Callithrix jacchus: one gene and its partner. The protein of the gene in region 1 purifies or fractionates together with the protein of each later gene. This does not show direct contact. Links are inferred from orthologs where the notes say so. Each region holds a gene or a part of one and is shown on either strand. Other genes may lie near its edges.

What was found. Proteins that work in one complex are often made in the same cells at the same time.
Region 2: the proteins of STRADB (region 1) and CAB39 purify together in Homo sapiens (affinity purification with mass spectrometry; 3 studies listed by BioGRID and IntAct, counting the BioPlex papers as one, with this or other methods). This does not show direct contact. The link is inferred for Callithrix jacchus from reciprocal best matches to the Homo sapiens genes STRADB and CAB39.

What each region holds. Positions count from the first base shown.
Region 1 is NC_133507.1:122,530,284-122,533,926, reverse strand, and holds part of STRADB (STE20-related kinase adapter protein beta), read right to left. Parts: intron 1,435-3,643; coding exon 1,313-1,434; coding exon of another isoform or gene 1,240-1,312; intron 34-1,239; coding exon 1-33. UniProt on the Homo sapiens protein: Pseudokinase which, in complex with CAB39/MO25 (CAB39/MO25alpha or CAB39L/MO25beta), binds to and activates STK11/LKB1.
Region 2 is NC_133507.1:152,182,131-152,186,473, forward strand, and holds the start of CAB39 (calcium-binding protein 39), read left to right. Parts: upstream 1-1,460; 5' UTR 1,461-1,846; exon of another isoform or gene 1,847-2,419; intron 2,420-4,343. UniProt on the Homo sapiens protein: Component of a complex that binds and activates STK11/LKB1. In the complex, required to stabilize the interaction between CAB39/MO25 (CAB39/MO25alpha or CAB39L/MO25beta) and STK11/LKB1.

The DNA.
Region 1 (3,643 bases):
ATGCCGGAAAAAGTGAGATAGAATCACGGCTTTCTAGGATAAACACACAAAAGACAAGACATTTAAAAACAACCTTTTTTTCCTTACGATGAAAACAGCAGTCATGGCAGCTAATACTCAAGGGAGCTTAATAGTGAAATCACTGTTCTTAGAGCTTTCATCTGTTTAAATCTCACAACCACTCCACAAGTATGTGATATTATGTTTCCCATTTTTCAGAAGATAACACTTTAAAATATGTTAGAAAACCTGTCCAAAAGCATGCAATTAATAAAAAGAAGTGGAAGTAGAATGTGAACTTAGTTTCCCGCTAGGGTCATACACTTAATAACTGTACTATGTTCTTATTATTAAAAAAAAATTTAAAAACACATAAAAATATGAAAATAAAAATCTTTTCTATCACTACCTCACAGAGAGCCACTGTTAACATTTTGGTATAGTTTCTCCCAGTCTTTTTTTGTTTGTGCAATATACATGTACACATATAAATGTTCTAAGAATTGGAACAATATCCAAACAAAATCCTTTCCCCTTTTATATCAAAAATGATTCGTGACAATAAAAATGGTATTATAAAATACCTGAAATGCAATTCTGTCAAAATTTGTCATTCAGAAATTAATTTTGCTTAACTGGATGAAAAGGAAACTGTTTGCTTTTGGTATCTTCAATTTTCCTGTGACTATTTATGATTGGACTGAGTAGGGGTATTATAAAACTCCAGACTAGCATTCTGAATATGATAGTCATTTGAAAGAGCAGTAGTTATCAAAGTTTGAATGTATCTATTCTTTCATATAATGAATCTGGCTTCCAAGTGTTCTTTCCAAATTTGTAACTGCATGTTAATTAGAAGAAATCTACATTTCCCTAACAGAAGAACCATCAGTTTGGGTGAGAAAATTCTTACAGATGTAATCTCCTCAAATAAACATTATATTAAATACAATCATCCCTTAGTCTCCACGGAGGATTGGTTCCAGGACTGTATCCCCTGACAGTCTCCTATACACCATCCCATGAATGTACTAAAATCTAAGAATGCTCAAGTCCCTGTATAAAATGGCATAGTATTTGCATATAACCTACACACATCCTCCTATATATTTTAAGTCATTTCTAGGTTACTTACAATTTCTAATACAATGTAAATGCTATATAAGTAGTTATGCTGTGTTTTATTTGTACTATTTTTATTGTATTATTTATTTAAAAAAATATGTTTTCTATTCACAGTTGGTTGAATCTGCAGATGTGGAACCAGTGGATACAGAGGGCCAAGTATGTATCATTTTCTTCATATTGTTACCTGTAAAGCTTTCAGGCGTTCTTCATTACAGTTTTCCAGATTTGTAATTTTTATAGTTACCAGTGTTCCCGTAGGAGTATGCCGTGCAAGATGGACAGAAGTCAAGTTGTCAAATCCTCTTCCTATAATCAGAGAGATAATTCATGTTAGTAACTAAAGAAGAAAAAAAAATTGTCAATTTGGACTTCATAAAAATGGAAAAGTTTTGCTCTTCAAAAAATACAGTTAAGAAAATGAAAAGGCACACTACTGATTCAAAATATTGATAATACTTATCAGGTAACCCAATTAAAAAGAGGCAGAGGATTAAACAAGCAATCCACAAAATAAGATATAGGAATGGCCAATAAGCATAAGTTGCTCAAGTTACAGAAATGCAAATTAAAACAGTGACACACCATTACATATCTATTATAATGGCTAAAATTGTGACTTGATATCAAGTCACAATTGCAATACACTCACACAATGGAATGCTATTCAGCAATCCCGTCCCCACTCCCAGTCCCTGGCAACCACCGATCTGATTTTTGTCACATAAATGGTATTAAAAAGAATACAGTCATCAGCTTCTTTTGTGTTTAGCTTCTTTCACTTAGCATATGCTTCTGAGACTCATCCATGTTGTTGTATGCATCAGCAGTTAATTTCTATTGCTGAGCAATAATTAATTGCATGGCTATACTGCAATTTATCCATTTATAACGTGAATGGTTATTTAGGTTGTTTTCAGTTTGGTGACTATAAAGCTGCCAAAAACATTCCTGTACAGGCTTTTAAGTAGACATATGTTTTCACTTATCTTTCGCAAATATCTGAGAGATTGTTGGGTCATGTGGTAAACATGTTTAACATTATAAGAAGTTGCCAATTTGTTTTCAAATGTGGCTGAATCATTTCACCTTCCCACAAATAATGTATAAGAACTGCCACTGCCTGATGTATTCACCAGCATTTGGTATTGTCAGCTTTTTAAACATAAAACACCTAGAGTGGCACCTACTAATATCCACCCAATAAACGTTAGTTCCCTCCCTCTCTCCATGGTACCGAATTTTGTCAGTTTTATTTTTGAAATGAAGTTAATCTCAAATTCATCTCCTCCCCACAGTGTCAGAGTCACTGACTTGGTTTGAGCCCTGTCCTCTCGACCTGGATGTATGCAGTGACTCCCTCATATGCCCTGCATTCTCAGCCATAGCACATGCCACAATTACTGAGGGAACTACTTTAAAATGCCTCTGCCTTGGCCCCACTCCCCAGAAACCTTGGTTCAGTAGCTCTGTGATGGAATATAGGTGCAGTAATTTTTTTAAAAGACACAGGTAATGAAGATGATACTTCTGGTTTTGCATGGCTGATCTACTATATCTTCCTGACTGTTGCCTGAGTTGTTATAAATTTGGCATTTTATCAACAGCAGATCCTACAGTGTGGCAGCTGAGAGCTTAGATCCTATAGTCAGAAAGATATGGTTTCAAATCACTAACTGTATGACTGTCTCAACGCCTTGGGGTCCTCATCTACAAAATGGGAGTGGTAAAGTGTTAAAGGAAAAAAATGCATAGTAAATGTTCACCGTAATGCCTGTTAGATGCTATTACTGTCATCATGATTCCACAATGTCTCTCTAGAAGAAGGACAATAAATTCCAAATTTCCAACTTAAATCCTCTGAGTCATAAGAAGGGTAGGTTGTGGAGGTCATTCTAAACCCACTACATGAAGTCCTTTACAACGTGTTCCAAACCTGCCTTTCCAGATTCATCTCCTATCTCTGCCTACTCTCCCCTTGTTCCCACTTGTAGTCACAAAGGAACTGTATGGTATTCTCCCTCTAACTATCCTTCCTCAGTCATTTACTGAGGTAAACATCTTTTTCCCTTTTTAGAATTGGCACCATCTGAAACTCCTTTCTAATTTTGGGTCATTTGCCACTATGTGCTATTTCAGAAAAGGTCAGATCCTTACACTCCCTTAGTCTCCTTGACCCTGGCATGTGACCTATGATTGGCCAACTGGAGCATGGAGTGAAGGACAAAGCAGCAGCAGTTGTCAGAGCTCCCTGCAGTGGGCCAGCGTCTGGCGGCGGGCAGAATACTCACTAGGCTGCTCCTGTTTCACAGTCCTAGTCCTCATCACACAGCTTCTCTTGGCTTCTTCCAAGCTTATTTCTCTAGCCAATAATTCTGTGAAATTCCTTTTTCACTTAAGTTAGCCAGGATTGTTTATGTTGTCTGTAACAAAACCTATGACTAGAATACCTAGCAAACTCTTCCTCATTCAAGATCCAGCCCCTTTTTGCCATCTCTCTTATCTCCCAGAGGTGGTT
Region 2 (4,343 bases), about 30 Mb from region 1:
CCTTATCTCCTGCCCTCTCTGGGTCCTCAAGACAGCACATTCTGGCTTCAGGGCCTTGGTCCTTCGGGTCCCTCTGCCGTTCCATACAGAAAGCTCCCAGGCCCTCTCTCTCCAGGAAGCCGATCCCTGGAGGAGCACTGCAAATAACAACAGGCTGCCTTCTCTCTTCACTTCATCCAGTGGTGTTTTTCTCCAGGGCACTTAAAACTGTCCAGTATTGGGCCAGGCACAGTGGCTCACGCCCGTAATCCCAGCACATTGGGAGGTCGAGACAGGCGGATCGCCTGAGGTCAGGAGTTCGAGACCAGCCTGACCAACACGAAGAAACCCCGTCTCTACTAAAAATACAAAAAATTAGCTGGGCACGGTGGCGTGTGCCTGTAATCCCAGCTACTCGGGAGGCTGAGGCAGGAGAATTGCCTGAACCCAGGAGGTGGAGGTTGCAGTGAGCCGAGATCGCGCCATTGCACTCCAGCCTGGGTAACAAGAGCGAAACTCCGTCTCAAAAAAAAAAAAAAAAATACAAAAATTAGCAGAGCGTAGTGACAGGTGCCTGTAATACCAGCTACCGGGGAGGCGGAGGCAGGAGAATCGCTTCAACTCGGCAGGCGGAGGTTGCAGTGAGCACTCCAGCATGGGCAACAGAGCGAGCCTCTGTCTCAAAAAACAAAACAAAACAAAACCCACAAAAAAACCTGTCCAGTATTATAGATATTAAGGTTTATTAGTCAATTATTTGTCAACTGTTTGTGCCAGGAGCAGAGACTGTTTCGATCACTGCCCCACCCCCTAGCATACAGGAGGTGCTTAAAAAAATAGCTCAATTACACATTAATAACAAAGAAACAAAAGTACACACATAAGGCATTTGTATGTGCCAGTTTTCACTGTCAGAGCTTTGTAATGCACTGTCCCGTTCATTCTCAGGTGCCCGTGGGAGGAACCACTATATTATTACACTTTTTTTTTAATGTGTGAGGAAATCCAGGCATAGGGACGTGAAACAGCCCACAGATAGCAAATGGTGGAGAATAATTTAAATCCAGGTTGCTGATTTAAATAGGAACGTTCCCATTAATCTGGAACGTTCCGGCACTTTCTATGCTGTGTCCCCCTAGATGCTAAAATGATCTGATCGCAAATAAGACAGAATCGGTCTACACAAAGTGGGCTGCGGGCCTTTCGCAGAAATAAGCTTGAAGAGTTGAGGAAGCGGTCGTTGAAAGTGAGCGTGCGATTCCCGTAGGAAGCGCGCTCAGGCGGAGAAGGGGCTGAGCCCCGCCTTGGAAGCCGCAGCTGAGGAAGAGGAACTGCGGACTCGGCTTCTGCTTTTCTCTGCGGCCCCTCCCGCTGGGGCCTGGTGTCAACTCTCAGCGCACTGAGTCCGCCGGCCGCTCGGGGGCGCCCGAGGCGGAAGGGGGCGTTGCGGCGCCGCCCGACGTCGCGTCCTCGGCGGCTGCGCAGTGCGCACGTCAAAGCCGGGCTCGGGCCGCGAGTGGGGCGCGGGGATCGGGGAGCGGCGCGGCCTGGGAGACACAGAACCTTCAGGCGCCGGGGCGGGGGCATAGGCGAAGACTAAGGCGGCGTCGAGTCCCGCAGCAGCAGCCGCAGCCCGAGTGAGAGCAGCACCGCGGCAGCCGCCGCGGGAGCCCCTGGGCCGCCGTCCGCCCGTGCAGCCGCCGCCGCGGGAGCCCGTCGCCTGAAGCAGGAGCGGGCGGAAGACAACGGAGGGGCCCAGCGTCCGAGCCACGCCGCGGGGACTGAACGAGCAGCCCGAGGCGGCGGCAGCCGAGGACGGGGACGGCGACGACGCGGAGGCAGAGAAGGGAACGCCCAGCCCAGCCCCGTGAGTGACCCCCGGCCCGGCCCTGCTCGTGGCGCGGACGCCCGCCCAGCTTCCGCCTGCCCCGCCGGGCCCTCACCGGCTCCGGGGCTGCCTCCATTTTCTCTGGTGGCGGCGGCCTCAGCCCGGCTTGGCCCCGGAGCCCGCGGGAGCAGCCGGGCTCGGCCTGCCCTCCCCGCCCGCCTCAGCCCGGGTCCCTCGCTGAGACGCTCCCCTTGCTTTCGCCGGCGCGGGGCGCCCGGGGGCCTGCGGTCCAGGCGCTCCTGCCGCCCCCTCTGTGGTTCTCAGGCCGGGTTGGCGGCGCGGGGCGGCCCGGGCCGGAGTCGGGAGGGCGGGGAAGTGCGGGCCGGGCCAACTGTCACCGGCAGCACCCAGGCTCCAGCGTCTCGCTCCCGCCCCTGGTAAACTTCCTGTTGTCGGGAGGCGGATACCAGCTTTGTGATCAGTTCAGGGAAATGCCTAACTGATTTCTCGTTAGGATTTGTGCGGTCGGAGCGTTCTCGAGTGCAATGGAACCATCCCGAGCGCGGACTGCGTGCAGACGCAGTAGTCGGCCCGCGCCGGAGGGATTCAAAGGTGAAGCCAGCCCCTGTCCCCTCCCCCGAGGAGCTGAGGCTCTGGTGTGGGAGATAAGACGCGTACACAAATAACTGCGATACCGGGAAGGAGGTGATAAGTCCTGTGAAAGAAGGACAGAGAGCTAGAAGGGCACCCGGCGGAACCGAACCGATCACTTCTGCCTAGCAGAAACCTGGAAGGCTTCCTAGGCGGGGGGTGCCGAGTAGGGTCTTGAAGGCCTGATGAGATTTAGGAAAGGAGGGTTGCAGAAGAGTGTGGAAGGGCAGCAAAAACGAGAAGACAAAGCCTAGAAATCATGGATCATTCCGTTTGTTTGCATAGTGCAGGGGCGGGGGGTATTGGGCTAAAGAGGTATTTTGGGGCCAGATCCTTGAATGCTGTAGAGGAGCTATTTGAGCAGCATTCTAAGAGAAACTTAGAGCTCATTTCTCAGTGACTCATAAGCCCGGAAATGTAGGCTAGGGGATATTAAAGGCGCTCTTGTGAAAGAAGAGAGAAGGAAGCCCAGTCAGGAGTTGACATTCTGTGCCTTGAATGTAATGCAGTTGAGATCGATTTTGACAGCTTCCCAGATATTCCCATGCCCAGGCTAAGCAAAGTACTTTTGCAGAAAGCCTCATTAGATGTCAGGCTCTGAAGAGATAATGGAAAGGTGTATATAAAATAAGCTCATTTCATACAGAAGGTTTTTTTGTGCGTTCGCTAACGCTAAAATGCATAAAAACTTCTTGCACTTTGTATTAAGTGTCTGCTCTTTGGAATTACCAAACTAAACCTACATTCTTTGAGGTGGCTTTTGTGTAAAATAACATAAATTGATGATTTTTTAAAAAATCAAATGGTTATTAATATTCTGATACAGAAAGCGGGACAAAGACCTTTTTGTAGAAAGGGTAAGGCTTTCTTTATTCGTTTTTATTTTTTATTAATTATGAACTCTTTATAGTAGAGGCAGAAGTGAAAGTATTTAGACCTATTTTGTGCTTTCTTCAAATTGCTAGCAAGTAATTAGCAGTTGTATTTGAAATCTAGACTCTGTGATCTGTGAAAGCAGCTTAGGGCCTGTGTTTTGTAAGCATGCGTTTGTTGTTTGCCTGTATGACAAGTGAATGCCACCTTTTTTGCAGTTTAAAAATTTTCCGCTTTTCGAAATAATACCTGATCTTTGTCAAAGCTTGCAAAATTCAGGGAGTACTAGAAAATCTTTAAAACATTGTCTTTAATCTTACCACTCAGATTTGGTTACTGTGAACATTTTTGCATGTTTCCTTTCCAGTCTTTTTCTGTGTATTTTTTCTCTGCATAATGAAATACATTGTATGCATATAATACACATCTCTTATTAAGCTTTTCTTGTCATTAAATACCTTTATATAAAAATATTTTTACTCAACAATGGAAGTCTTCTAAGTGTGTTATGTTTTTCTGACAAAGTTGTATTTTTTTTTTTTTTTACCTCAGATGAAGTGCAGTAGTTACACTTAATAACTACTGCTGTGGACAGAACTTTTTTCTAAAGGCTACTTATTTGATATTTATTTAGAGACCGTCTTGCTCTGTCACCCAGGCTGGAGGGCAGTGGCACAATCTCAGCTCACTACACCCTCCGCCTCCTGGATTCAGGCAGTTCTCCTGCCTCAGCCTCCTGAGTAGCTGGGATTACAGGCATGCGCCACCACACGCGAGCAATTTTTGTATTTTTAGTAGAGATGGGGTTTCTCCATGTTGGCCATTCTGATCTCAAACTCCTGACCTTGCGATCTGCCCACCCTGGCCTCCCAAAGTGCTGGGATTACAGACATGAGCCACTGTGCCCGGCCCTTGAAGTATGTTTATTACTTTCTCTGTAAGATTTGGTTCCTCTTGCTTGTTGAATAAAGTTTTTATTACTTGGCAGGATGTGTGTTATCATACTGTCTCC